Stegostoma tigrinum: one gene and its partners. The protein of the gene in region 1 purifies or fractionates together with the protein of each later gene. This does not show direct contact. Links are inferred from orthologs where the notes say so. Each region holds a gene or a part of one and is shown in the gene's direction. Other genes may lie near its edges.

What was found.
Region 2: the proteins of E3 ubiquitin-protein ligase Itchy-like (region 1) and cflara purify together in Homo sapiens (affinity purification with western blotting; 8 studies listed by BioGRID). This does not show direct contact. The link is inferred for Stegostoma tigrinum from reciprocal best matches to the Homo sapiens genes ITCH and CFLAR.
Region 3: the proteins of E3 ubiquitin-protein ligase Itchy-like (region 1) and amot purify together in Homo sapiens (affinity purification with western blotting; 3 studies listed by BioGRID). This does not show direct contact. The link is inferred for Stegostoma tigrinum from reciprocal best matches to the Homo sapiens genes ITCH and AMOT.
Region 4: the proteins of E3 ubiquitin-protein ligase Itchy-like (region 1) and fam189a2 purify together in Homo sapiens (co-immunoprecipitation; 3 studies listed by BioGRID and IntAct, counting the BioPlex papers as one, with this or other methods). This does not show direct contact. The link is inferred for Stegostoma tigrinum from reciprocal best matches to the Homo sapiens genes ITCH and ENTREP1.

The regions. Positions count from the first base shown.
Region 1 is NC_081372.1:11,186,660-11,194,620, forward strand, and holds the start of E3 ubiquitin-protein ligase Itchy-like, read left to right. Parts: upstream 1-4,950; 5' UTR 4,951-5,064; intron 5,065-7,961. UniProt on the Homo sapiens protein: Acts as an Acts as an E3 ubiquitin-protein ligase which accepts ubiquitin from an E2 ubiquitin-conjugating enzyme in the form of a thioester and then directly transfers the ubiquitin to targeted substrates.
Region 2 is NC_081360.1:19,688,860-19,696,856, reverse strand, and holds the start of cflara (CASP8 and FADD-like apoptosis regulator a), read left to right. Parts: upstream 1-4,995; 5' UTR 4,996-5,044; intron 5,045-5,419; exon of another isoform or gene 5,420-5,824; intron 5,825-7,528; exon of another isoform or gene 7,529-7,705; intron 7,706-7,997. Other genes in the region: ndufb3 (NADH dehydrogenase [ubiquinone] 1 beta subcomplex subunit 3), read left to right, coding at 3,747-3,903. UniProt on the Homo sapiens protein: Apoptosis regulator protein which may function as a crucial link between cell survival and cell death pathways in mammalian cells. Acts as an inhibitor of TNFRSF6 mediated apoptosis.
Region 3 is NC_081368.1:25,793,438-25,800,744, reverse strand, and holds the start of amot (angiomotin), read left to right. Parts: upstream 1-4,305; 5' UTR 4,306-4,425; intron 4,426-7,307.
Region 4 is NC_081356.1:28,054,692-28,062,073, forward strand, and holds the start of fam189a2 (endosomal transmembrane epsin interactor 1), read left to right. Parts: upstream 1-4,380; 5' UTR 4,381-4,683; coding exon 4,684-4,998; intron 4,999-7,382. UniProt on the Homo sapiens protein: Functions as an activator of the E3 ubiquitin protein ligase ITCH in the ubiquitination of the CXCL12-activated CXCR4 receptor. Thereby, triggers CXCR4 endocytosis and desensitization, negatively regulating the CXCL12/CXCR4 signaling pathway.

The DNA.
Region 1 (7,961 bases):
TCATTTCTACATTGTCTCACTGAAAAGTTGTCTGTATGCTGCTGATTGCATAGAGAACTGGTTTTCCTTAGCTGCTAGCCCTGGACTGCTCCTGTACATGGTGAAATGTTTACAAGAGTTTTGCTACTTCTTCGACTTATTTTGGGCTTATGATATTCTTGAAAGATTTTGTGACCAGTAAGTGTGAATTCTATTGCTTCTTTTTGCTGGAGTTGCTTCTTGTGCTGTCCTGTGTGCTTAATCACTCTACATAAACTGCTTTCAAATCATAAGATAACAAAGTATGGAGCTGGATGAACACAGCAGGCCAAGCAGCATCTTAGCAGCACATCATTCTTTTTCTTCTGCTTCTTCTCACTGATCTTTCCTATTCCTTCTGAGTTTTGGCTTCATTGCTGTTTCCCACTGCCTTTCACCTGCTGGAGGGTCGTTTACCAATTTTCACCGTCTGTTACCATGATAACAGATCTTACAAGAGGTAGTGTCCTGTGCCAGGGTCTACAGAGACTGTTGATGCTAAGCTCTCGGTAAGATTATCTTGTTTTTTTTTTAATATTCTACCATTGTACTATCGGGCTTAGGACAAAATTCTACTCAGAATCATCTCTCTGACGCAGCCTGTGGTTAGCACTGCTGCCTCACAGCCCCAGGGACCTGGGTTCGATTCCAGCCTTGGACAACTGTCTGTGTGAAGTTTGCACATTCTCTCTGTGTCTGTGTGGGTTTCCTCCGTGTGCTCTGGTTTCCTCCCACAGTCCAAAGATGTGCAGGGTTGGTGGATTTGCAATGCTAAATTGCCCATAGTGCCCAGGAATGTTTAGTTTGGATGGGTAGGCCATGGGAAATGCAGGGCTAGGAGAATGGGTCTGGGTGGGATGCTCTGTGGAGGGGTGGTTGTGGGGCCAAATGGCCTGTTTCCACACCGTAGGGATTCTATGAAAATATGAACCCTTTGCAGGATGCATCATTTAACAATGGAATGTACCCATTTGGCCAAATGGAGGGATGCACAGAACATACCGCGGATATCAAGAAGAAGTGGCCATAAATATAAGATGGACACAAATATGTGCAGAAGGATATTCAGGAGAAACCTGTTGATTTGGGCAAGAATCTATGTTCCCTGTAATTTGTTCTGCTGCTGCCTGGGCCTACAAGATCTGTATGCGACCATGGGTGGAGAAACTGGAGGGGAATGAATTATTGTACTGTTGGCATGCCAATCGGTGTATATGGACCCTTGGACACTGCACAACTGCTTAGTGGGAATGTTAGTAAGAATATGGGATTGTTTGGCAGAGCATAGATACATTTGAGCAAATAGCTAAACTTGAGGCAACAACAAATAGAAGCTTTTCTGAAGCCAGCTGTGAAGAGTCAGTCCTATTGGATTTGAAACATTTAACTGTTTCTCTCCCCCACACGTGCTGCTCGATCTTCTGTCTGTTTTCATTCCATATTTCTAGCATCTGAAGTGATTTCTGTGTATTAAGTAATATAAGGGTGTTTGAAGATAAGGCTAGGAGGAAGGTTGTGTAGGACATAAACACCAGCAAAGGCCAGCAGAGTGGGGATTTTGTATGTACAGTGGTAGTGCCCTTACCACTAAGAGAATTCAAGGGTTCAAGGCCCGCCTGTTCCACAGGTGTGTCATAACACATCTGAATTTAAATAAGCAAAACAGCATAGGCTGCATGCTGTCTGTGTTGTAACTGCTTTGAAATAAGACCATTAAAAATAGGAACAGGAGTAGGCTGTTCGACCCCTTCAGCCTGCTCCACCATTCAACAGGACCACATCCACTTTCCTGGCCTTTTCCCATAACCCATGGTTCCTCCACAGATAAGATGATTGATTGATCTCAGCCTTACGTATGCACAAGGATTCTGCCCCTATAGTTCTTTGTGGCAAGGAGCTCCAAAGACTCTCAATCCTGTGACAGAAGAAATTCCTTCTCATTTCAGTCTTAAAATGGCACTCCTTTATTCTGACTCTATACCCTGTTGTCCTAGAGGGGAATATTTTACTCCGTCAAGCCCTTTAAGAATCTATGTTTCAAAGAGATCATCTCTCATTCTTCTAGACTCCAGTGAGTAGAGTCCCAACCTGTATAAGTCTATGACAAAGACTAAAGAGATATATGCCAGGGAAGCAAAGCCGTTGGTCCAACTCATCTATGCTGACCAGATATCCTAAATTAATCTAGTCCCATTTGCCAGCATTTGGCCCATATCCGTCTAAACCCTTCCTGCTCATGTACCAATCGAGATGCCTTTTAAATGCTGCAATTATACCAGCAATTACCACCTCCTCTGTCAGCACATTCCATACAAACACCACCCTCTGCATGAAAAGGCTGCCCCTTAGATCCTCTTTAAATCTTTCCCCTCTCACCTTAAAACCATGCCCTGTGGTTTTGGAAAGGACCTTGACTGTTCACCCTATCCGTGCCCCTCATGATTTTATAAACCTCTGCAAAGTCACCCCTCAGCCTCCAATGCTCCAGAGCCTATTCAGCTTCTCCCTGTAGTTCAAACTCTCCAAACCTGGCATTGTCCTTGAAAGGGTACAAAAAGGATTTACAAGTTTCACAACATCTTTGCCATTGTAGGAAGATCAGCATTAAACACGGTATTCCAATAATGGCCTAACAAAAATCCTGTTCAGCCACAACATGACCTCCTAACTTCTATATTTGGCCCACTGACCAATAAAGGCAACTGTACCAATGCCTTGATAACAAAGTGTGGAGCTGGATGAACACAGCAGGCCAAGCAGCATCTCAGGAGTACAAAAGCTTTTGTGCTCCTGAGATGCTGCTTGGCCTGCTGTGTTCATCCAGCTCCACACTTTGTTATCTTGGATTCTCCAGCATCTGCAGTTCCCATTATCACTGTACCAATGCCGCCTTCATTACTGCTAATGGACCAGACCAGACCCCCTCAAAATATTTTAAGAAGGTAGCCTTGACCCTAACCTTTTTCTTATTTTAAAGTTAGATGTGAAGTGCACGTTCCAGATGTGATGCAACTGGTCAAACTGCATGATGTTAAGCAAAACATAATTTTTAAACATTGCAGTTAAAAATGCAAACAAAAGAAAGATGAATTTAGAATAACTTAATTATTGGGAACCTTAACTGAATAAAGGTACCATACCTATTACTAATTAACTGTTCAAATGTAGTAACATCCCATAAACACGCCCCTTGGCAAAAAGCTAAATTCCGACACAGATTTGTACGTGCAATTCTGCAATCCAGGAGGAAACAACATCAAGAGAGATTTCCGAGAAAGTAACAGCTTTACTGAAGCCCCAACTCTTATGGGAACCAAACGGCTTCTGACCGCCAAAGCTAAGAAAACCCAGAAGTCTGATCTGTGTGAACTAGCCACTCCCGTTTCATTGTTACAACTGTTTCCAAAAACCTAGCCTCCTAAGTTATTGGCTTAAGCCATCTCCATAGCCCCTTTAGTACCTCTGCCATTACAGCCTTTCTTCAAAAAAACCCAGGACAAATAACCTTTTTAAAGTGACAGAATCATTACACTACCCCATCTACCTGCGATTCCACTTGCTAGGATCTACGAACCTACACTCCAAGGTCTCTTCGCTCGGGAACACTCCCCAGGACGCTACCATTAAGTGTATAAGTCCTGCTGGATTTACCTTACCAAACTAGAAAACCTCACATTTTATCTAAATTAGACTCCATCTGCCACTCCTTAGCCCATTGGCCAATCTGATCAAAGTAACATTATACTCTGAGATAACTGTTTTTGCTGTCCACTACACCTCCAATTTTGGTGTCATCTGTGAACTTCCAACCCATATCTCCTATATTCACAAGAAGACCGGAAGGCCAGGCTCGCAAGACAAGGGATGACCCTACTGAACCTTGTCTGAACGTCCTCCAAAGAAGTTATATTTTTCATTAAATAAGGGGGCCAAACCTGCTCATGATTCTCTGGGGTGGTCTCACCAGCACCTTGTAGAGTTACAGTAAGATCTTCCTATCCCTGTGGTCCAACCCACTTGAAATGATGTTGAGAATTTTTCTATCCAGTCACAGAATAGAGGTGCTGTTGGCCAGGTCAGCATTTATAGCTCATCCCCTATTGCCTGGAGGACAGTTAAGTATCGACCACGTTGCTGTGGGTCTGAAATCATACGCAGTCCAGACCAGATGAAGATGGCAGCTTCCTTCTCTAAAGGACGTTAGTGAATTAGATTGGTTTTTCCTAAAAATTGGCCATGGTTTCACGGTCAGCATTCGACTCTAAAATCCAGACATTTTTTTGATTTCAAATTCCACCACCTGCCATGGCAGGATTCGCACCTGGGTTTGTATAAATTATCTTGGTTTCTGGGTGAATAGTCTAGCGATAATGCCGTTGCCTCCCTGGATTTGGAATTCGTACAGTTTTAAAAATAATTGGGAAGGTGCAGCAGTATGCTATGACAGTTTACTGAAAACAACAAGTGCTGGCGATCACAGCGGGTCAGATAGTAGCCACGAAGACAGGGCAAGTCTTCAGTTCTGATGAAGAGTCATCCAGACTTGTAACGTTAACTTGCTCTCTCTCCAAGGATATTGTGCTCATCCAGCTCCACACTCAGTTATACTATCTGACCCGCTGTCATTTCCAGTATGTGTTGTTTTCAGTACAGATTCCAGCATCTGCAGTAATTTGCTTCTGCTATGTTTGTACAGGCGCTCCCATCGAAGTAATGGAAGAACCTGCGGGTCTTCAGAACCATAACAGGGAACTGGTCCACGTGCGCCCTCTGCCCACCTTGGCAACATCGCCGGGGATGATTGACGTCCGCGCGGACCAATCGACGCGCACCGGCAAAGACAGGCGGTTTCCATGACGTCGGCGGCCAATGAGAGCGGGTCAAGAGGGCGGAGCCTGGATGACCCTGTGGGGGTGGAGGCAGAGTCCATCACGTGAGCAGGCGCTGCAAGATGGCGGCGGCGTTGGCGAAGGTGGGAGCGTTGAAGAAGAGCCCGCGGTTGTCTTTCTGAAGCGGGTCTGGCTGTTATCCGGGCCGGCTCCTCCAGTAAGAAAACTTTTTCGGTTTCCCGTTCTCGTTCGAACGTTTATGTGGCGGGGGTAAGGAAAGTGGCGGTTGGGAACTGCTCCCAGGCTGGGGTCTTTGGTTTTGGGGGGGGTTGCGGCGGATGGAGAGAGGGGGATGGGGTCGCCTAATGTCGTGGGAGAGCAGTCTGTCTCGCTCACTCGGCCTGCTCTGGTTTCACCCACTGGTTTCTCCCCGTCTGTCTGTTGAGGTAGGCCGCTTCACTGCCTATTTAAAAAGCTGGAGTGACCACGGACTTGCGTCGAGACGAGTCCTTGTTCTTTAATTTAAATTGCATTGTGGACACCCAAATGTGGGAAAGTTTCAGAGCGAGGAAACTTTAGGTCTCCCTTCTCTTGGAAGGACGGGCATTTCTAACACCCAGCCCCTGAACTAGTCTTCGTGCCAGGTTTAAAGGTCGGTTTGTAGTTCTACTCGGTCCACTTGCCCCTGCCCCCACCTCCCCAGATTCTAGGACACTATGATGATAGTTGTTTCAAGTCCTCCCTAGTTCCATTGGAGAGGTTAGTGTTCAAAGATCGGTGCTTTCTGCGCTTTGACTGCTCTGACGTACTGTTTATAAGTCTGTCTTGAGATTGGTGGAATGCTCTTAGGTGGTGGAGAATTTTTTTTGGTACTAATCCAACTGCTTTACTGTAACGTCATAAGACAAGGAGCAGGAGGTTGCCCGGCCAATTCGCCTATTGGCAAGATTGTGATTGATCTGATTATGGCCTTCACCCCCCCCCCCCTTTTCTGCCTGACACAGTAAATCCTAACTTCCTTATTGATCAGTGTAACTCAACCTTCAGAATATTCAATGATGATCAATTCTAGTCCCCCCCCGCCTCTGTGGGAAAGATGTTGTGAAATTTGAAAATGTTCAGAAAAGATTTAGATAATAGGTGCAGGAGTAGGCTATTCGGCCCTTTGAGCCAGTACCACCTTTGATTATGATCATGGCTGATCATCCACAATCAGTATCCTGTTCCTACCTTATCCCCAATTACAAGGATGTTGCCAGGATTAGAGGGTTTGAGCTATAGGCAAAGGCTGCAAAGACTGTGGCATTTTTCCTGGAATGTCGGAGGCTGAGGGGTGACCTTTATAGAGGTCTTTAAAATCATGAGAGGCGCGGATAAGGTGAATAGCCAAGATCTTTTCCCTGGGGTAGGAAAATCCAAAACTAGAGGGCAGAGTTGTAAAATGAGATGGGCAACACTTGAAGGGATTTAAGCAGCATCCTTTTCACACAGAAGGTGGTGTGTGTATGGAATGAGCTGCCAGAGGAAGCGATGGAGGCTGGTGCAATTACAACACTTAAAAGGCCAGGAGGGGTGCATGGATAAGAAAGGTTTAGCAGGATACAGGGCAAATAGGACTAGCTCAGTTTTGGATATCTGGTTGATTTAGACCAAATGGTCTGTTTCCATGTTGTGTAATGTTGGCTATATGATACAATCTCTGTGGAAGAGAATTCCAAAATCTGAACTCCCTCAGAGAAGAAATGCCTTTCCTTGTCTGAAATGGAAGATTGTTTGTTTATTTTTAAATGATGCTCCTAGTTCAGGATTTTATTGATGAGGGGAAACATCCTCTCAACATCAACCCTGTCAAATCCCTTCAGAATCTTGTAAATTCCAACAAGATTACTTCTCATTTTTCTAAATATCTATGAATATGTGCTCAACTGTTCCTCACAGGGCAAATTGTTTGATCCCCAAATCAGCCTAGTGTTTCTTCCCTGAACTACATCCGACACAAGTATGTCTCTTCTTAAGGTTGGAGTCCAAAGCTGTACACAGTAGTTGAAGTGTGGTCAAATCGATATTCTGTACAGCTCTAGCAAAATCTCCTGACTTTTACATTCCACTCCGGTTGCAATTAGTTAATATCAATTATTTATCTGATCATGAGGCACTGTATGATGTTTAACTATAAAAGAACTAAATAACTACACGTTGACACAGTAAACTGATGCTATCGTGCAGGTTTGGTTGACCTTTTAATGTATATCTTCACTTTACTGAAAGCAAAATTGAAGAAAATCTGACCTTTCACAAATGAACCAGCATTATGCAAGGTTACTGTTTCTGCTTTAGGCCAGTGTTTCGAGGTCAGCCTGCATTTGTGCGTTAGCTTTGCTTTTGTTATTTAGTTATGCTTTACAGTAGGAAAGCGAAACCCAGTACTTATATAGTATGTCTCATCCTCGCGTTGTTTCAAAATGCTTTATAGCCAATAAGTACCTTTTGCAACATAATTACTGGTTTGTAGACAGATGTGGCAGTCAATTTGAAAGGACCCAAATAACACACAAGATAAATAAAGTGTGGAGCTGGATGAACACAGCAGGCCAAGCAGTGTCTTAAGAGCACAAAAGCTGACATTTTGGGCCTAGACCTTTCATCAGAAAAGGGGGATGGAGAGAGGGGGAGGCAGATCGAACATGGAGAGGAGAGTAAAACTGCTTGATGTCCAAACATGAAGGTGGAGGCAGTGGCTTCAGGACATGGTCAAGCAGTTTCAAGGCCAAAGAGATTACAAGAGAGTTGTGGTGGAAAAGAGATCCCCTGAGGTTTGTCTGGAGGGAGGACGGTAACACCTTCATGTTTGGACAACAAGCAGTTTTACTCTCCTCTCCAACTATCTTCTCCTCTGTCCATCTTCAATCTGCCTCCCCCTGTCTCCCTATTTATTTCAGAATCCTCTCCCCATCCCCCTTTTCTGTGAAGGCTCTAGCCCAAAACGTTGTGTGCTCCAAAGATGCTGCTTGGCCTGCTGTGTTCATCCAGCTCCACACTTTGTTATCTCTGATTCTCCAGCATCTGCAGTTCCCATTATCTCAGATAAATAGTGTTTTGTTTTGGTTGTGTCTT
Region 2 (7,997 bases), on another chromosome or scaffold:
GACGTTTCGGGCCTAGACCCTTCATCAGAGATACTGTATCACTGATACAATTCCCCTTAAGTACCTCCTGTTTTCCCTTTGAAACCAGGTTCCACATTCTTACCAAATAAAAACAGGAAGAACTGCAGATGCTGTAAACCAAGGACAAAAACAGAAGTTGTTGGAAAAGCTCAGCAGGCTTGAGTCTAGTTTTCCCAGCTTCCATCAGTTCTGAGGAAGGGTCACCGGACTCAAAACATTAACACTGACTTTTTCTTCACAGATGCTGCCAGACCTCCTGAGCTTTTCCAGCAACTTCTATTTTTGTTCCACATTCTTACGACTCTCTTGGTATAGAAGTTTCTCATGAATTATCTTTTGGATTGTTTAGTTGTACTATGTTTCTTAGTTTGGGTCTTCCCCACAGTTAATCAATGAAAATCTTGCAAAATCTTTCTTTGACTCTTCCTGATGGTTATTACCCCCATTTTTGGTAGCAATTTGTAAATCCCTTTTTCATCCACTCCAGTGCATTTAAGTCTTTATAATGTGGAGAGCAGAAATCTGTACAGTAATCTTGTGTGTGTGTTCTGGTCAAGATTCCAATTAAGTTTAGCATGTGTTCTCTGCTTTTCAATCATTTTTGAATTCTTTTACAGTATATGGATGCTGCAGGCTAGGCCAACAATTACTGTCCCTCTCTAATTGCCCTGGAAGAAGGTGGTGGGGAACAGTTTTATTTAACTGATGCAACACTTGGGATGTACTTAGTGCAGTAAGGATGGGATTTCTAGGATTTTGATCCAATGATACTGAGGGAATGGCAATATAGTTCCAAGTCAGAATGATGAATGACTTGGAGGAGAGCTTGCAGATGGTGGTATTCCCATGTATCCACTGTCCTCGTCCCTGTAGTTGGTAGAGATTGTGGGTTTGGAAACTGTTACGGAGGGAATCTTGATGAGTTGCTGCAGTGCTGCTCCTGTGCTTCAGTAGTGGAGAGTGTAAATGTTTATAATGGATGGGCTGCCAAGCTGGTGTTGTTTTGCCCTGTCAGGTATTCACATTTCTAGGTTCTGATTGTAATAATTGAAATTTTGTTTGGAACATTTTCAGTCAGTCAAGGTGCTGATTACTGAGCTGTTGTAAGCAGTTGCTATTTCTATTCCTAGCAGCAAGTACTAACTAGCTGAGTGTTTCATTTTGCCTTTCACCAGATACACTGAATTTATACCCAGTGAATGATTCCACCAGCATATTCTTGTGTTTAAAGTTTTTGAGAAGGCTTGTAGCTCAGGTTGTGGATGAGGTTGTTGATTTGTTCACCAGCTGGGCAGGTTGGTTTGCAGATGTTTCATCACCATACTAGGTAACATCATCAGTGCGCCTCCGATGAAGCATTGTTGGTCTGGCCTGCTTGTTATTTATGTGGTCCAGTCTGATGGGGTGGTTGGCTTCATTTCTACTATAGAGCAGAGCAGGTTGGTATATTGGGGTCTATTTTCATATGTTTATTGATGGAGTTACGGGCTGAGTACCAGATCTCTAGGAAATCCTGCGTGTATCTTTGGTAGGCTTCTCCTAAGATGGTTATGTTGTCCCAGTCAAATTGGTGGTTGTCTTTGTCTGAGTGTCTGGAAACGAATGATAGTTGGTTGTGTCTCTTGGTAGCTAGTTGGTGCTCATGTACCTAATAGCTATTTTACTCCTGCTCTGTCTGATGTTTGTGGCAATCCTCCGTGGAATTTTATACATAACATTGGTCCTGTTAGTTGTGGGTACGGGATCCTTTGTTCTTTTCAGTAGTTGTTGTAGGTAGCTGTGTGTAGACCCCATATACCAATCACTATGAAGCAGAAATGGATATGAAGCCAACTGCCACATCAGACCAGATCTCACAAATAACAAGCGGGACAGACCAACAATGCTGATTTGGAGGTTCACTGATGATGTTACCTACTATGGTGATGAAATATCTTCAAACTAAGCCACCAGCTCGGTGAACAAGTCAACAACCTCGTATTCTGGTGTCTTGCCCAGGTCACCCTTGACTGATCATTTGGGAAGTGGTTCCCAAGATTAGCAGTGAACTCACCCAAAGTTTAAGCTTTCAAACATAGCATTGCTACAACAGTAATCAGCAGTTGGAGCCCCCAAATGATTTTCCCTCTCCTAGCTGAAGCAGTTTGGCCAACTTTTTATTCCTAACACTACACTTGCTGGGATCAGCTAACTCAGCAGAGCCCCCGGGAATGGTTTGGCTCTGATACTCTGAAATTCTGTGGGCACAGAGATGGATTTATTATTGTGTGTCTGCCTATTGGGAATGAACATTGAAACTTCATACAACTGTGTGTTTATAAAAGTTTGGGAGTTTTTAAAAAAATATTTCTTGTGACATTGCTGGCAAGGTCAACATTTGTTCCTCATCCCTAATTTCCCTTGAAATGAGTAGCTTGCTAGGCCATTTCAGAGAAGAATGAATTACAGTGCCATTGGACTGGAGCCATACGTTGGCCATTCTAAGTAAGCATGGCAGATTTCCTTCCCCAAAACCGTGAATCATGGGCTTTTAATTATAGTCAATGACAGTTGTTACAGTCACTATTATCGAGAGTAGTTTTGAACATTGGTCTGGCCTGTGGATTACTAGTTGAGTGATATTAGACTATACTACCACCTCTCTCCCCACTGCCCTTAACAAACATACACAGGATCTTTACTCCTTTATGGTAGGGTGTGGAAGTGTCACAATCCAGAATCAGAAAAGACACAAGCCAACCTAGCTAAATCATTGAATGTTAAAGTCTCACCACTAGTGGTCCAAGAACCAATTCTTGTCAGATTAGTGATAACTAGGTGTAGAGCTGGATTAACACAGCAGGCCAAGCAGCATCAGAGGAGCAGGAAGGCTGACATTTTGGGCCTAGACCCTTCTTGGCAGAGCCAGGTCTATATGCAAGTCCAGTTATTTGATAATCACCTTGCCCTGGATATTGAAACCTGTGACCACAACAAAATGGCTTACATGCTGCTGGCCCTGGAGATAGAAAGCAAAATCAAAGGAAGGGCAGGACATGGTGCCAACCTGCATTAATAGGACATGAATGAGTAAGCAGGTGGTCAGTACTTTGTAGAGCATAAATGAGATGCTGTAGAAAGTTTTACTCAGACTTCAGAACACTACACTACAGGCAGGATATATGACCTTCAGATTGTGGTGAATCTGCTCTGCACTATGATACTAGAACAAAGAGGTTAAAATTTGAGGACAGGTTTTGTAAATGTGGATTGTGCTCGTTTGAATTTATCTGGTGACAAGTGATCTAATTGAATTCAAAATGTTAAAAGGATGTTTTTCTTAAGTTTCTGCCCGAAGGCAGGTTTGACCCACAATGTCCAATCTCTGCCATGAGTAGAGGAAGGAGGCAAGTCCTGATTCCAGCCCATCAGAACAGGAATCAAACCTCAAGCCACTAGCACACTGGCCATCCAGCTGTCTGAGCAGACCGACTCCCAAAGGAGTCAGAAAATCTGTGGTTAGGTGCACATTCACATGTTACAGTCTGGAGCTATGGACTACCATGGTGGAAGCTCCAGTTTTGTTCCATCCTGTGACTGACCAGGTGCATCTCCCAATCTTATTGCCTGCCATTGGGTATGTGTTGGCCAATCCATCTAGCCTGCACATCTTTGACTGAGAGAGGAAACAACAGAGTTCAAGTCTGATCCTTTTTAACCATTTTCTTTGTCTTGTATCCTAACAGCAATGAAGCCTGGCGGTTCAGCGGAGGCTTTCGTAAATCTATCACCTTCAGCGATATCTTCTTTCGAGGCTTCAAATGGGGATTTGCAGCATTTGTTGTGGCTTTAGGTGTTGAATATGCATTATTTTCTCCCAAGAAAAATGGAGGACATCACTAGTAAATGAAGACTGAAGAGCTTTGAAATTATGAAAAGCACTCAAACCTTTCCAGTCAGTGAGCTGTAACCAGTGCACAAGTCAAGAGGCAAATGTCTTTAAAGAATAAAATAATTAATTGAATCAGCACTGCTCTGCCGTGTTCCTTTTGAATCTTTTTTCACCATTGGTTTTAGCTCCCATTGCCAGTTTTCTCCTGAAGCTGGTGCCTGCCCTATGCTTGTTCCAGATGTGCTTTTATGTTGATTGAAAAGCACATGTGACATTTTCTCTGGTGTGCACACCCATGATTTATCCTTGGCCTTCTCTTTCTCATTTACCTGCTGCTCCTCAAATACATCATCAACAGATAATTCAGGTTCCACAACAAGAAGCCTCAGCATCACTTTTTCTTGATGCTTCCACTGTGCTGTCATTCTGCTTGTTGGATGCCCAGTATTGGATAAGGTCCAAGTACCTCTGATGAAATATTGGGAAGCCTTGTGAGCCATTGCCTCAAGGTGTCCTTAAATCATACAATGATAGCAGGCATTTGTAGCAAGTAATTAAGAAGGCCAATGGAATGTGGGAAAGTCTTGTATGACTGTGTGTGTACAATTTTGGTCTCATTTAAGGAATAATATTTGCATTAAAGGTTGTTCAAAGAATCATTAGTTTGTGGTAGTTTTAATGAGGAACGGTGGAGTGGGTTGGACCTGTACTCTTTAGAGTTGAGAAGAATGAAAGGTGATCTTGAAATGTAAGATTCTGATGGGACTCTGATAGGGTAAATGCTAAAAGGATCTACGTGGAGGGAATCTAGAACTGCGGCATAGATTAAAAATAAGGGGTCTCCCACTTCGAGTAAGATGAGGAGGAATTTCTTTTGGAGGCTAAGTAGTCATCTTCCCAGACAGCATCACTCAGCTCTATGGATTATTTGTCCAGTAACATAACCAGTTTGCTGCTGTACCTGAAACAAAACCGATGAAGCATAGTTCTTGCAGCATCGGTGGGAGAACGCGGAGTTTAATGTTTCAATTCCGGTGACTCTTCTTCAGAACCAAGTTGTATTTTTGTATCAGAACTCCAGGATCTGCAGTGCTTTGTTTTATGTTACAGTAGCTGCTGAGCTCTCTGAGTGCTGTGTGTGGAGTGGTGCAGGTATGTAGTGATTCTGGAGTGATGGTAGTTGAAGAGTGTATGGGGAGGGGATGAAGCATACAGGGGGGAGGAGGAGGAGGAGGGAATGGAGTTTATGGGAGAGGATGCAGGACGTAGGAAGGATGGGGGGGATGATGATGATGGTGTATGAGGGATGGGGATAGATGAGGATATATGAGGAATGGAGATGTGGATACAGGAAGGTTGGGGGTATATAAGCGAGATGATGGTATATGAGGGGCGGGGATCTTTACAGGAGAGATGGGGGGGAAGGGGGTATAGAGGGGCTGGAGATGAGGGATGTGGGAGGGGGATTTGTGTGGGAACACGAGGGGGGGGGGTAAATGGAATGCAGTCCTGGGGTCTGTCATTACAATGTGCCTGAGCTCCGGACAGTACCACGGTCCCAGGGCTCTGCTTCCCCCCCACCACCCCTCCCCGCCTGGGAGTCGGGGCCAGGGAGCGGGAGGAGGGGGGGCACGGGGTTCGGGCCCCAGTCCCCGGCCGAGGCCGTGGGGCTTTCACTTTCGCTTTCTCCAGGGGGCAGGAGAAGAACCGGAACCAGGGACGCGGTGATCGGGGCAGGTTGGTGCGTGAGGCTCGCACTCCCCGGCCCCGCGACGAGCCTCCACCGCAGACGGAGACAGCCCCGGGGCTGGAGGACGGGCCTCGGGTCTGGGGCCTGGGGCAGGAGGGGAGCCTGGGTTTTGGGCCGTGGCCTGGGCTGCAGGAAAGGCCAGGCGTTTGCATACCCCACTCCGGGAGATAGGTTTATAGGAGGTGAGGAGGTTTAAGCGATCTGCGTTGACGGGTTTGAACTTGAGGCAAAGCACGGAGCACACCGTGACATTGGAGCCAGGGGAAGGAAGTGGCTGGATGGAGCTGCAGCACGGACAGAATAGAACAGAGGGGCTGAAAGGCCTCCCCCAGACCTGGCAAAGCAATGAGCAGGGAATATTTTGAGACCACACTGACAAATCCCAAAGGGCTGAATGGCCTAGGATGCCCAGGCATTTGGTCTTGGAGACGGGTTAGCCTTCAGCCTGCTTATCCCGGTGACAATGTTTATTTTCAGTCTCTCCCTCTTGCCCCGTGATTTTCTGCTATTACTGGGATGCTGTCCTCAGCTGCTTCACCAGTGATCTTCTCTCCATCATAAGGTCAAAAATGGGGATGTCCGCCCGTGATTGCACAACGTTTAACTCCACTTGAGATTTCTCAAGTACTGATGCAGTGTATGACCAGATGCAGCAAGAACTGGGCAAGACTCAGGTTTGGGATGAAACGTAGCAAATAACATTTATAATATATAAGTGCCAGGCAGTAACCATTTCCACCAAGAGAGAATCAAACCATTGCTCCTTGACATGCAATAACGTCGCCATCACTGGCTACCCCACTACCAAATTCCTGGGTGTTAACATTGTCCAGAAACTGAACTGGATTAATCAAGTAAGTATTGTGCCTTCAAGAGCAGGTCAGAGGCTAGGAATCTTACAGTGAGCAACTTACCTCTTTATTCTCTGAAGCCTATCCACAATCTACCAGGCGTTAAGTTCAGAGTGTGAATACTCCCAACTTGCCTGGATAAGTGGAGCTCAAACTCAAGAAGCTTGACACCATCTACGGCAAAGCAGCTTGCTTGATTGGCACCACATTCGCAAAATTCCACTCCCTTCACCACCAATGCTCAGTAGTAGTGTGCTCCGTCTGCAAGATGCACTTCAGAAGTTCACCAAGACTCCTTGGACAGCACCTACAAAACCCTTAGCCACTACCATCTAGAAGGAGAACAGCAGCAGATACATGGGAACACGTCTTCTCATGTTCTCTTCCAGGCCATTTGCTGTCCCGATTTGGAAATATATTGCCATTCCTTCAGTGTTGCTGGGCCTCAACCTTTGAATTTCCTCCTTTATGATATTATGCGTCTACCTACAGGATAAGGACTGCAGTGGCTCAGGAAGGCAGCTCACCACCTTCTCAAGGCAACTTGGAATGGGCAATAAACAGTGAACCTAGCTGGTGATACCCATGCCTTATGAATGAATAAAAGAATCCTTTCACCGTCTTCTACCATGAAGATAAATATAGAATACTTGTTATGAAGAAAGATGCTTATGATAATGAATTTAGATGTGAAGTATAGGAGGAGGCTTGAGTGGAGCTGTAAACATTGGCATTGCTGTTTGATCAATTGGCCTGATTCTGTGCCATGTACCCTATCCACTGTTAATCATCTTGGGAGGCCGGGGTTCATGGGCTGAGGATGATAAGCATTTGCTTTGTAGGATGGGGTAACAAAGATAGTACAGAAATGGAAAATTTCAACTGCCAGAGTCTAATATGAGTGTGTTCCAATGGAGCAGAGACCATAAGGTCAGCAGAGGGGGTTCTGAACACCCTGAAGCCACACCATATACTTTCTCCATGCTTCTCCCAGCAATATAAACCGGTTGAGTAAAATCTCTGTTTATTCTCCAGGCAATGGTTTCCTTTTGAACGGAGAGTCAGATTCAGGATAGACAGACCTGTGGTTTGTAGCAGGTTCATGCGCGTGATGGGCAGAGAAGGCGCTGTCACAGAAGCAGTGCAACATTTGGAGTCGATGAGCGGAATGCCGTTAAACATTAATGCCAACAAGAAGCAGGACAGCTGCAGGTTTGTCATTGGTCCAAGGAACAAGCTGAAATCAGCAGAGGTTATTATTGAGAATGCTGTTAGTGAGTGGAGGAAGAGCAGGGATAGATTTAAAATTGTAATAGAGAGGATGAGCACACGATGATTGTTGATGCGGGCAAAACAAGCCTACACCAAAATGAATAAATGAGGAAATTCCAACTGTTTAAAAGCTAAGTAAAAAGAACAAAACAGGAGTGGTATTGGGTCTCACTGGCTATAGTGACAAGGCTCTTACTTATGAACACAAATTATGTTGAGGAGTAGGCCATTT
Region 3 (7,307 bases), on another chromosome or scaffold:
GATTAAAATTAGATGCTTGATGACTGGCTTGGACTTGATGGGCCAGAAGACCTCTTTCTGTGCTATAAAAATTCCATGGCTCAATTGGGTAAGAAGGACAACAAAATCCTGATTATATGATTAATTTCCACAAACACCTGAACCCAGCTTGCTTTATTTACAAAAATGAGAATTGATGGGCAACAAAAGATGAGATCCATTTAAGTATAATGGTTAATGCAGCACAACACATGTACACCTCAACCCCACTGAAGCTATATGATTTCTTGGGAGAAGTAGAAAAAACTCTTTTCAGAACCAAAAACAAACCACTGCTAATTGAAGGGGAAAATAATTGGAAAAATTCTCTCCAGGCCCACCTTTAATGGTTAAAAGTAGTTCGAGTCCGTTCTTTTTCTAATCAATGTTGTGAGGTTACCTGTGCCCCAGAAACAGATATAGCTGTAGCTTGAAGTGATCTGCTAAATTGATCATCATCCACCAAAAACGAGCAGCCAGTTCACTGTTCTGTCAGAAGAGAAAAATGTACAAACGTTTAGCCTAGTTTTGCACTTGGCATATTCTGCAAGAATAATCTGTCCTAAATGATCAATTAGACAAGTACGTAGTACAAATAGTTGTTTGGTAATTTGAATTTGAACATTGCTGAAAAAAGATGTTTTGCTGAAGTTTTCTTCCACTTATCAGGACATTTTGCAAGAATGCAGATTCATGTACAAATTAATATTTATACTGCATAAGAGGAGAGTTCTGAGTGGCTGGCAAATACACTCTGGTTGGAACATTGCCATATTGAAAACACTCTATTGCTAATTGTCAGTTTACAGATGTATTCATCATTGGCAGTCTATCGCAGATGAGGATGACTCTCTTCCACTCTTGGTTGAGTCTGTAGGTGACTAAATGGACCAATGCAGCTACTGTAGGTTCCCTTATGCTTAGGGCAGGTGGTGTTCATGGGAAGGAGTGGGTGGGGCATTGGTGTGGTAGTGCGCTCCTTTCACTGTTTTTGCCTGACTTCCATTTTTACCTGACAGCAAGTCTCCAGGTGCTTGACATCTTCCCAGATGCTCTTCTACTTTAGATGTTCTTGGGCCAGTATTTCCTAGGTGTCTGTGGGAATGCTGCACTTCACCAGTGAGGCCTTGAGGGTATCACTGAAGCATTTCCTTTGTCCACCTGGGGTTCGCCTGCCATTCTTGAAGTTGGGAATAGAGCACCTGTTTGTCTCTTGTTGCTCATGTTGATATCCAGCACATCATAGCTGATCAAGGGTGGTCAGTGTCAAGATGTTGGCCTGTTTGAGAATGCTGATTCTTTCCAGCAGATTTGCAGGATCTTTTGCAAGCAGTGTTGGTGGTATTGCTCCAGTGCCTTGAAGTGCCATTGAGGAGGGTAGGAACTACCCCAGGTCTGTAAACCACAGGCGTGTTCACAGTGCATGGGGAAGGTTGTACCCTCATGATGACAGATTACTTATGTAAATATTCCATTCTTTGATGACTTAGCAACATGCTAAATGTAACAGTTGCTGATATAATGACTTACTTTTATTTATTCAGTGTTCCAGAATGGATAGCATCTGACAATGGGCTGCAGTTCACTGGCATGTATGAAGTGGGGAATGACCACATCACGTAATCACCTCACATTTAAATGGTCCAGCAGTGTGTGTAGTACTTCCTGCCAAATCAATGATCAAGTATGGAAACAAGTTTTTCACATTTTGTTGGTGCATCTTCATACAGCATCAATGGCGAAGCCATCACCAACCCCACCACAGCATATGCTTGGAAGGCAAGTACCATGTAACTTTGCCAAGTACCCAATTGTCTAATCATTCCATGACAACAATATTTTTCTTCAAAGACAGAGGAGAATGAAAGAGATAAATGATGAGTGAACAAGTAGAGAAATACCACAATTACACAGTGGACAGAGAATGACTTAGAAATACATATACTTGAATATAGCAATAGTTTCAATCGTGCAACTGGCCCAGATCATGTGAAGTCATTACGGCTCGTGGTGCTACTTTGAGAAAGAATATGTGCCAGCTCGAACAATGTACAACACACCAATCGTGTATGATGAGAATGAGGAAGAATACTGTGATGATGATGATGATTGTGCAGCAATATTGAGTAACAGTAACCAGGAAAATTACAACCAAATAAAACAGAGTACAAATAAAACATGTACCTCTCCACATGGGTATACGATCACCAGATCGGCGCAAGTTGTCAAACCTCCAAAGCTTTATATTGAACTCTGAATTGTTAATTTTGTAAACTCTGTTTATACCTGTTCATGTAATTACCTAATTGACAAACCTGTTTATGTACAACCTTGTATTTCTTTTTGAGATCACTTTTTATCTTTGAAAAAGATGTTGCATTAGGTTCACGGGTAGCATGTCAGCATACCTGATAAGGGAAACGATCTTGATTCATCACTGTCTCATAGTATGTGAACTGAGGGTGTAAACTTCTTGGACTCTATCAGAACCAGAGGGCACAGTTTAAAAATAAGGGGTAGGCCATTTAGAACAGAGCTGAGGAAAAACTTCTTCACCCAGAGAGTGGTGGATATATGGAATGCTCTGCCCCAGAAGGCAGTGGAGGCCAACTCTCTGGATACTTTCAAGAAAGAGATGGATAGACCTCTTAAAGATAGTGGAATCAAAGGCAGGAGGGATGAGGCAGGAACAGGATACTGATTGTGGATGATCAGCCATGATGATAATGAATGGTGGTGCTGGCTGAAAGGGCTGAATGGCCTACTCTAGCACCTATTGTCTATTGTCTTAACTTGGACTACTTAAAGTATGAGACTCTGATGGAAGCATGCTGCTCATTGTAACCAAAGAGTTATAATGAATGTCCACTGGATCTTTCAATGCCACATTTTCTGTGTACTAGTTTCTTATGTTGTGAAGGATGACACAACTATTACTGTATCAGGTAAGGATACCCTGCTGTTGGCAAAACATACCCCACCAATGCAGGTATTGACTAATTCCAACAGCAAATTGTGCAATTATCTCTCTTTGATATTTAAGGTTTTATTCAACAGCATTGCTCTGACTGAATCAACATCCTCCAGGCCATCATTGTCCAAAACCTTAACCAGACCAGCCACATAAGCATCTTGAAGCCGTGTATTTTGCAGTGAATAGCTCACATCATTCTCAACCATTTGCAGTGCACAAATCAGGTTCCCTATTTGGGGTGTAGTGTATCTGTATTAATATTCTAGTAATTTACTGCTAAGCACGGTGTAGTGTATCTGTATTAATATTCTAGTAATTCACTGCTAAGCACAGGCTAGTCTATTTGATCAGAGCATCATCCTCTAACTTAAATATCAATCTTCTACGTCATTGACTATGTTGTGTATTACCCACAGTATGCACACCAATCATTCATCTGAAATGTTATGGCAAGACTTCCTAAACCACCTGCTTTACAACTGGGAGAGGCCAGGGAAGCAGGTGAAACAATTCTCCTCTAGTTCCGCCTCACCCTCAAATGTTCCTTCATTTTTAAGTCAAAATCCTGGAATGCACTGTCTAATTATATAGAAGGATTATCTTCATTACACAGAATACAGTTATATACTTAAGCTCCCAGTAGCAACTACGAGAGCGACCAAGCATGGACGAGAAAAATTGACTTCAGAGGTGACACTTTAGGAATTTAAAAAAAACTTGTTTCTTCAACTTGTTTGAACAAATCTAAACGATTTACAGGTGGATTGTGTTGTTGAATTATGATTTTATTTGGATCAAGCCGAAATAAAACATGTGCTGGAAAAACTCAGCATGTACGGAGATAATTATAGTCCAAAACGACTTCTGAACGAAGTTCACATTGGAGTCCAAGGATTAACTCTGTTTCTCCCTCCACAGATGCTGCCAGACCCCCAACCCCACACTCTTTTTGTTTCGGATCTTGAGCAATGAACATTGTTTTGCTTTTTTCGAATGGGTTTTAAATTCATATGCGTTTATTTAACGCGTGAAACAAGGACGTTATTTGATTCTCAGTTCATTTTTAAAGGTAGGTGAAACATACTCCACAATGTCACCTGTTTGCATCGGGGGCACCCCCGCCTCTCTCGCGCCGCGTAGCCAGCCGAAGTGCCTCTGCAGGCGTCGTGCGAAGCCCATTGGAAGTTGAAGTCCAGGCGAGCTGATCCTGGCAGGGAAACGGGTTAATCCATGGGAACCAAACGACTACACTTCCCAAGCTGCACCTTGGTTTTATTTTCCACCAAGCGCAAGCGTAGAAACAACGAGCGGGGCCGGCAGGTGAAAGACGCTGGAGAAAGGTTTTTTTTATTTTCCCCTCCCTCGTCACGTTGAGTTTGGAAATGGTGGTGAAAGAGGGGGGAGCACGGAAAGGTTTGCAGAATATTTCAACAGTAAGTCATTTATTTTTCGAGAAAGGGTGAATTGCTTCGTAAAACTATTTAGAAATATAGCTAACGTTTGGCAGGGAATTACTCCTCTGTTGGCCGGACACCTAACAAAGAACAGGCTTCAATTAAATTGCATGTGGAGAGAAAATTATTAACTCGCAATATAAATGATGACAGCGTATCTGTGTTGCAAACGTATTATACGATTACATGCCTCTTCTCTAATTTCCAAATTAAATGGTGAAGTAACATGTAAAATGAACCTTTGTTTCACTACTTCACGTCTAACGTTGTAAATCTCCGCTCCTGCTTCGCCCAGTCTGATGCTAAAACACTGATCTTTGCCATTCACCATCCTGAGTGAGCTTCAGCTCATTTTAAAGCACAGCGGGCTGTGTTGAATTCAGCACCATCTCCCATTCTACTGTCTCCCCTGTTTTTCTTGAGTTTGCCCCACCGCGGCCACCAAGAACAACACAAGCAAAATTCAAATTCTTACCCAGGTTTTGACTTTCAAATGAGCATGGTGCAACAAAAACTACACGGTTCTTTGTAAACTAGATGTTCATCTAATTTGTAAGCCTGTCTATGTGTATGGAAGAATGCTACAATATCTTAATCTAAGCCCCGATGCATATTGTTGGACTCCAACCTGGTGTCGTGTGGCTTCTGACCTTGTCCACCCCAGTCCACATCATGGAACAAATAGGATTAGCAGCATTTAACATTGTAGGGTTTTCTTTTGCAAAGATGTACTTTATTCACTAAGAAAAATAAATCTTTATGTACATACACAGTTACAGAAGTAGTTCTGATCACTAAAGTTTTTGCGTATGGAGAAGAAAATAAACATCGGAGTTTGATTTTTCATATTAGGTACAACTAATCCAAAGGCATTTCTTAATTATGGAAAGTAGTTGGAACTACTGACATGTATTTGAGGCATCAGGAGTGTCCAATAACTCAACGGGCCCCTGTTGTATTTTGGCAGAAACTGTGGTGGTCATTCCCTACTGCACCTTGGTGGCAGCTGTCCCAAGCTTTAGTGCATCCTTCAGCACATAGTCCTGGACCTTGGAATATGCGGCTGCAACACTCGGTCAGGGTTAACAGTTTGCACTGGAAGACCAGCAAATTTTGGGCAGATCACAGGGTGTCTTTCACTGAGTTGATGGTCTTCCAGGCATGGTCGATGTTTGTCTTGGTGTACATCCTGTACAGAGTCCTGCGTCATGGAGCTGCTTGGGACTAGCCTCGTCAAAAACCTCTGCATCTCTCTCCAGACTTCCTCTGCATAGCCACATTCCAGAAGGAGATGGGAGATAGCCTCAATCCTCTTGGAACCGCTTTGAGAGGATTTGTCCGTGCATGAAAGATCTTGCAGCTAGTGCCCTTCTCTCCACCAGCCAAGCTGTTGTCTTGATGCTTGTTGAAAAGTTCTGGCAATGAGGAATTCTTCCAAAAGGCTTTGACAGTCTGCTCAAGGAACTACCCGACAAGATCAACTATCTCCTTTTCCTGAAGTGTCTTGAGGATTCTATGTGCTGACCACTTCCTGGTGGACTTGTGGTCAAAGGTGTTTTCTTTCACAAATTTATCCATGAGGGACAGGTCATATGGGATGGTCCAACTACTTGGAGTGTGCTGTGGTGACGAGGCCTGACCCATCCTTCGTGACACTATGGACAGGTAAAATCTCAGAACGTAGTGACACAAAATATCTGCGTACTGAGGGTCTAAGCGCAGCTTGATATAGACACACAGAAAGGTGGCCATCAGGATGAGGGTGGCATTCATTCTTAACCCGCCCCCAACCCCAACACATTTAATACACGGTGTCCCTTTGGACTCGATCAATCTTAGACCTCCAAATGAGGTATATGGCGGCTTAGGTCACTGCAGCGATGCAGGCTTGGGGAATAGGCCAGATCTGTGCCACGTACAACAACATTGAGAGGATGTCACACCTGATGACCAGGCTTACACCTGCAATGGAGAGCTAACGGTTCTCTCATCTGCCCAGTTTCTGAGGCATTTGAGTTCAAGTAATGTAGTGCTGATGATATTATTTTGCTCTTTAACTCTGCAAATAAGGCTTCAGTTCAAGTCCACAGCTCGAGTATTCTTAGTTTCCCAACAGTGTGGAAACAGGCCCTTTGGTCCAACACATCCACACCGGGTCGGAAATTGGCTTGTTGAAAGAAGACAGAGGGTGGTAGTTGATGGGAAATGTTCATCCTGGAGTCCAGTTATTAGTGGTGTACCGCAAGGGTCAGTGTTGGGTCCACTGCTGTTTGTCATTTTTATAAATGACCTGGATGAGGGCGTAGAAGGATGGGTTAGTAAATTTGCAGATGACACTAAGGTCGGTGGAGTTGTGGATAGTGACGAAGGATGCTGTAGGTTGCAGAGAGACATAGATAAGCTGCAGAGCTGGGCTGAGAGGTGGCAAATGGAGTTTAATGCAGACAAGTGTGAGGTGATGCACTTCGGTAGGAGTAACCGGAAGGCAAAGTACAGGGCAAATGGTAAGATTCTTAGCAGTGTAGATGTGCAGAGAGATCTTGGTGTCCGTGTACAAAGATCCTTGAAAATTGCCACCCAGGTTGACAGGGCTGTTGAGAAGGCATACAATGTTTTAACTTTTATTAATAGAGGGATCGAGTTCCGGAACCAAGAGGTTACGGTGAAGCTGTACAAAACCCTGGTGTGGCCGCACTTGGAGTATTGCGTGCAGTTCTGGTCACCGCATTATAAGAAGGATGTGGAAGCTTTGGAAATGGTGCAGAGGAGATTTACTAGGATGTTGCCTGGTATGGAGGGAAGGTCTTATGAGGAAAGGCTGAGGGACTTGAGGCTGTTTTCATTAGAGAGAAGAAGGTTGA
Region 4 (7,382 bases), on another chromosome or scaffold:
AATTCTTCAGCACTACAACTGGCAGGCAGTGAGTGCCCATACTCTGTCCTGTGTTGCCAGCATTAATGATCCGGAACAGAACAGCTTGCTAGGCTACTTCAGAAGGCAGTTGACAGTTGTCCATATTACTGTAGATCTGGATGGTAGATCTCTGAAGGATAAGTGAATCGTACCAGTTTTTACAAGAGTAATGATAAGTGTAAATTTCATGATTTAACTTGATGTTGGAGATTTATTAATTGAAATTTAATTTCCCTAGCTGCCATGGTGGGATTCGAACCCACGTCACCAGAGCACTTAGATTAGTCCAGTGGCATCATTGTCATTTTACCCCCTACTATCTGTGAATTAAAAATATTGGCTTCTTCTGTTTGAAAGGAAAGCTTTTCGCTTTCTCATACACCAGCAGGATGTAATAGCAACCATTGTTTTACAGCACATTTGTCTAATAGGATTAGCCAATGCCATTTTGGGCATTACACTATTAGTCATCATTAAATTAATCTTCTGATTATTTTTAAACTTCAGGAGCTCCATTTCTACCAAAAGTATAAGCTTACACTGGATTTTGTTTTCAGCCAGAGTTACAGTGCTCCTAGTTGAGTTTGAACTCCGCATTCTGAGAGTGTGCATTTACATTCAGCCAAGTGGTATATTCTCCTTTAGTCTCTGGCAGTTTTGAGCTGTTATTTGTCAAAATTTATGAGCTGAGTGGACAACTTTTGAAAGCTTTAATCAGTAAAGTTCCTTGCATGTTTAAAAACGAAGTTATGCAGGGTGCTATGGCGGGGGGGTGTGGGAGTGAATGTGATTACATTTCTGTTGTAGCTTCTGTTTTGTAAACCTCAAACTGCGTTAAGCTGAAAGAATTTTTTCTGCTGCTAAATTTTGTTTAAAATGTTGAATTTTGAACATTTCCCATCTCACCAGTGTTTGTTTTTACATTTAGCAACTGGAATAATTACATTTTCTAACATCTAAGAGACGGAAGGACAATACCTAATCAAAGTTCCCTGCAGTGTGGAAGTAGGCCGTTCAGCCCACTGAGTCAACAACTGCCCTCCAAGGAGCATCCCATGCAGACTTAACCCCCTACCCTATCCCTGTAACCCTGCATTTTCCATGGCTAATCTACCTATCTTACACATCCCTAGACACCACGGGCAATTTCCCAACACCATATCACGTAACCTGCACATCTTTTGGACTTTAGGAGGAAACCCGTGCAGATATGGGGAGAACATGCAAACCATTGAGCCACTGTGCCACCGCAAACTTCTACTTTGATTTTTTTTCAAAACGAAACATAGGCAAATGAATCCAATTTTGAAAACACACATTTTAGGAAAATGAATGTGATGGAAGATGAAGGAAATAAATTATGGTTAAGGGCACTTCTGGACCCACCACTCATACTTGCAGAGTGTCGGGGCTGGATGAAGCATTAAAGATGTGGTGAAGGGCTGGAGACAGGAGTTGATTAGATTCTGCACAGAAGCAGCAGTGGAAGGATAGAAAATACCAGAAAGAGTTAGGCCTGGATCAAGATGGAAGGGAAGTAGGAATACTCTAAGGAAAAGGATGTCATTGACAGTCAGATTCTCATGCTCATTGCCAGTGATCCCATTAACATTTCATAGGCACTTTACCTCCCAGGATGCCCTGGTCAACTCCTCTGCTCCCAGCACCTCCCCACCTTACCATGTAATCTTAATCCCTTCTCATACCAACCAATATCTCTCATCTCAATGTTCAGATTAAAATTAGTGTGGGACAGATAAAGAAACAAATAGAACTGCCTACTGAGAAAAATACCGTATTACTGAAGCTATGTCTTGGACTCAACAGGTCAAATGTAGGAACGACAATTTCAAACTGTCAAACAACTTACAGTATAAATAAAAGGAATTGGAATAAGGAGTGATTTAAAAAAAAGGAAGAAACGGCAATATGGAGTTAACTGGTAAGATCTGACGTCAAAGGAATCGTTAGGGACCCATCTTGGAACCTCAACACCAATTCAAATTTCAACTTAGTTCATAAAGGTGACTGCATACAAGTCAAAAGTTTTATTTATTTGGCTTTAAAAGACTGGAGATTGATGCAGATAATTTGAGCATACATTAAATTGTAAGTGTTTTCATTCTGCAATAGTCTTGATATTAAATTAACATACGTATCCTTGTTCCAATCTTGTACTCTCTTTCCCAATTCTTCAATTTATTTGTTTGGAACAGTTGCCTGTTCATTCAAAGTCCCAAAGTTTGACTTCCCCTGCTGCTCTATTCTCAGACTGTACCTTCAGCAAGTGGTCATGCTAAACATTTCATAAGATAAATGTGCAAGGTTCATGCCTAACAAATTGCAGCCATCATTAGGTGCTCTGCTACAGTAAAAACTGGGTGCTTATACCTTTACTTAAAGAGTAGAACCTGTTATCATGTGGAGTGGTTGTAATAAATAGCACAGATGCATTTAAGGGGAAACTAGAGAAACACAAAGAATAGAAGAACATGCTGATTGGGTGAGATTAAATAAGAAAGGAGCAGGCTCATGTGGAGCATAAATATTGGCCAGATGGGCAAAACAGATTGTTTCTGTGCTATAACATTCTCTGTAATTAATCTTCATTTTAGCACTTTATGCCTTCTGTACTTCTGTTATGTCTTGCTATCTAGAAAGATTCCATGATGTGTTTATCCATTGTTAAATGCAAGACAGCATGAAATTTTCCAACAATTGCTGAAATCACTCCCGAATCATACACTTTTACATTGTGAGTTTCCTCTTTTGCTGCTATTGAAAACTATGGTAACCACGCTGTAATAATTTCTAGCTTAGACTATTCCAACACTGTCCTGGCCAGTCTCACATCTCACACCCTCTACAAACTGTTGCTCATCCAGTAACACTAAGTCTTGTTCAATCAGTGGCTCCCAGGTCCAGTGACACCTTGATTGTAAAATTCACATTCTACATTGTTCAAATCTTTCCAATGCCTTAATCATGTGAATTGCTATGGCAGCCTCCAGCCCTACAAATCTCTGGGTTCTTCGCACTCTGTCAGTTCTGGCTTTTTGGAATTGCACCAAGTTTATTTTTGCCACCAGTGCCCGTTGTAGCTCCAGTTGGCCTGCAAACTCTGGAAAGCCCCCCCCCCGAGTCAGCTCTTTAAAGCCTACTTTGGCCAAGTTCTCCAGTTATCTGACGTATGAGACCACATGAAACAGGAACAGGAGTAGGCCATTCGATCTCTCAAGCCACCTCTGCCAGTCAATAAGATCGTCGCTGATCCAACATTCCTCATTTCCCTGCACTTCTTTCCCCCCAGCCCCCATTACTCTTGTTCCCCTACTGATTACGGATCTATCTTAGCCATAAATACACAACACGACTCTACCCCCACAGCTAACAAAGTGTGGAGCTGGATGAACACAGCAGGCCAAGCAGCATCTCAGGAGCACAAAAGCTGACGTTTCGGGAAGGGTCTAGGCCGGAAATGTCAGCTTTTGTGCTCCTGAGATGCTGCTTGGCCTGCTGTGTTCATCCAGCTCCACACTTTGTCATCTTGGATTCTCCAGCATCTGCAGTTCCCATTATCACTGTTACAATTCTACCCCCACAGCTCTCTGGCAAGGGGTTCCAAAAGACTCATAACCCACAGAAGAAATTCCTCCTCACCTCAGCCTGAAATTGGTGTCCCCTTAATTCTGAGACTATGCACTCCGGTCTTAGACACCCCCCACGAGGGGAAAACACACTCCCAGCTTTTACTAGCCCTTTTAGAGTCCGACGTGTTTCACTGAGATCACCTCTCATTCTTCTAAACTCCAATGAGTCCCCAGCATTGTTCTGTCTTCTGCGGCTGGGACTTTGACGGTACTCTCGTGAGGATCGTCGGATGTTTTATGTTAATCGTACTGTCGATTAAAAACGTTATTATTTTACAGCCAACAAACCTGTCTGTCCCTTTCAGGCTTCAATCAAGATCGTAGTCAAAACTAGACACCTTGCTAGGGCTGCATTTTTGAAATCGAACAAAAGAAATTTTATGTCAATAATACTGACATGCTCGGTATTTTCCACTGGTTGTAATTTTCCCCCCGATCGGTACGGCTGCAAGGCGACTGGGACTAGTAATTCACGATAAACGAGGTCGATAAACAGGTAAATACATAGTGGAACACATGGAGCCCGCAAAAGAATTAAATACAAGTTTTTTAAAAAAATGTTCAGTTAGGTCAAACTAAAAACCTCAAGATTGGTTTTGAAAATCTAAAAATTAGGTTTCCTAGTCTTGTTTTAAACCCACAGCTTGTGGCTGCCGCGGGGGGGGTCAAAGTCTCCCTTGTAAAGTGACTGGCTTCTGTGTGTGTGCCAGATCTAGTAATGCAATCCCAAACTCGCCTGGAGTTATTTTAAAACTAGTCAACTCAGCCACTTTGGAAAACAAGGGGAGGGTTAAAAAAAATGTTGGGAAAGTGGGACGTACCGCGACTTGGGAGAGCGATGCATTTCCTAAAAGGCATTTCCGAGCAAATGGCTTTTGAGTGAATTGAGGGATTGAAGGGGTTTACCAAAGTAAACGCAGTGATTTTCACTGTTGGGGTGTGACTGTGGGTTACCAAGTCCCGCAGTCAACCTTTTACTGTCTGTCTGTCTCTCTCTCTCTTTTCTTGCCGGATGTCACTGCCAGTGCTGTTGCCCACTTCTTGCTGCCCAGTGCAAGCCACCACACCGAGCGGGGAGGCACCGCTTCGGAACCGGGCTCGGTGTGTGTCATGGCCCGGAGCGCTACACTCCAGCAGCAGCAGCAGCAGCAATACGAGCCCGGCACGCCAGCCGCTGCACTGCCCGCTCTACGGCCGCTCCCTCTTCGCTCTGGGACTACTCCAGATCGCTCTGGGTTTCTCCATCGTGTCTCTCAGTTTCGGGGCTCTGTCCCTCACCGAGTCCCCCAACGTCAGGAACTCTTGTCCCTTCTGGGCCGGCTCCTCGGTGAGTTTAGCAACAAAACTTTCTCCATAAGTATGACACTGAATTAACTCGACTATGCCCAAGCAGTTCCCAGGTTGTTGTACTCAGACTATTGCATTTACCAAATCGGTTGATTTTTTTGGGGGGGGGGGGGGGGGTGGGGCGGAGTCCGGTTCGAAGAGCCGCAGGTTTGCATTTATATAGCGCTTTTCGTGGTCTCAGACCACTCCAAAGTTGCTTCTGAAGAGTCGTCAATGTGGCAATGTAAAACAGCCAATTGGAGCCCTATTCCCTCAAACACCAACGTGATAATGACCAGTTATTTTACTTTTTTTTGTGATGGTAACTTTTATAGAGTTTTTTTAAAATACAGATGGGCCGAACGACCTGTTTTGTGTTGTGAATTCCACGCAACTGTTGAGTTCTGACCTCACGTCCCTTTTGCTGTCCGGCCTTCTTTCTCAGTTTCTTTGACTCGTTCTCTTCTAAATTTGAATCTTACAACACAGAAGGAGGCTATTTGGCCCTTAGTGTCTGTGCTGGATCTTTAAAGGTGTTATCCAATTAGGCGCATTCTCATTATTCTCTCCCTGGAGCCCTGCAATTTATTATATCATTTGTTTTATTTTGCTTCTCATTCCTTTGGTTTTAAACAATATTCTATGCAGACATTATCCTCACCTAACAATTTACATTTACATGTGCAAATTAAAGTTATGCAGTTTTAATGCAATTGTGATGTATCTTTCTGAAGTTGCTGCTCCTGTAACATTTTAGCAGTTGCTACTTAGAGTGTTCATCTGTGAAATTCGTGATGGATCTTTTTAAAAACAGACATGGTGAACCAGCAGTTTTAACATTTCTAAATTTTAAAATCCCACTGAAGTTGTGAAGTATTGGATAGCATTGTGGGGATCTTGTACTCGTGACACCGTGTGTCTTATAGAAGAGGATGCATGTAATATTCACGCATTGTCAAAGAATAAAGAATAGCAGGAACTTGTGTGGGATGATAGCAGAATTTCTGGAAATGTATGGCATATTGCTCAGCATCTAAAAGAATGAGCTGTGCCTCACAAGGTAGCATTCCTGCCTCTGAGTCAGAAGGTTGTCCGTTTGAGGCCCACTATGTAAACAATTAAAAAATACAAGCTGACACTTGGAATACAATGCTAAGGGAGGGCTGCACTGTCAACTGTGCTGTTTTCCGTCCCAGGTGGATCTGAGATCCCCGGGACTAATTTTGAAGAACTAAAGAACTTTCCTTAGAATCATGACAAACATGATGTCCTTCAGTCACAGATTAATTGTCATGCTGTCTGTGGAAGTTAGGTAGAAGTGACTATGGAATGCTTTGAGTTGTCTCAAGGTTGTGAACGGTGCACGATAAATGCAAGATTTTTTTCTCTCTTTTTCTCTTCAACAACTTTCCACAATTCCACAAAGGAATATTTACAGCCAAGGCAATCCTGTTTGAAGTGTAGTCACTGTTGTAATGTCAGAAACACTACAGCCAATTTGAGCACAGTGAAAATGCATGAAGGGCAAAGTGATAACTACTAGATGAATTGCTTTGGTAATGTTGATTTGAAGGATAACTATTAGATACCAGGAAGAAATTCCCTGCCCTTTTGAAATAGTGCCATGCAGTCTTTTACACTGAATGAAGAGGATTCACAGGGTGACAGTTTAACATCTCATTCGGTGGAAGGTGTAATCATTTAGGTAGTGCACCCTTAGTAGTTTTTTTAAATTCACTTGTGGGACACGGGCATCACTGGCCAACCAGAATTTTATTGCCCATCCTTAGTTGCTCTTCAGAAAGTGGTGGTGCGCTGCCTTCTTGAACCTCTGCAGTCCACGTGATGTGGGTTGACCCACAATGCTATCAAGGAGGGAACTCCAGGATGTTGACCCAGCGACAGTGAAGGAACAGAGATGTATTTCCAAGTCAGGATGGTGAGTGGCTTAGAGGGGAACATGCATTTGGTGGTTTCCCGTGTATCTGTTGCCCTTGTGATTCTGGATGGAAATGGTTATGGATTTGGAAAGTTCTGTTTGAGGATCTTTGTGAATTTTTACAATGCGTCATGTGGATAGTACAGACTGCTGCTACTGAGCATTGGTGGTAGAGGAAAAAGATACTTGTGGATGTGATGCCGGTGAAGTGGGCAGCTTTGTCCTGGATGGTGTCAAGCTTTTTTTTAAATTGATGTTGGAGCTGCACGCATCCAGGCAAGTGAAGCAGTGTTTCATCGTACTCCTGTGCTTTGTGGATAGCAGCCAGGCTTTGGGGGGAGGTTGGGAATTGAGTTACTTGTTGTAGTGCTCCTAGCCTCAGACGTTCTCTTGTAGCCACTGTGTTTATGTAATGAGTTCAATTGAGTCCCTAGTCAATGGTAACT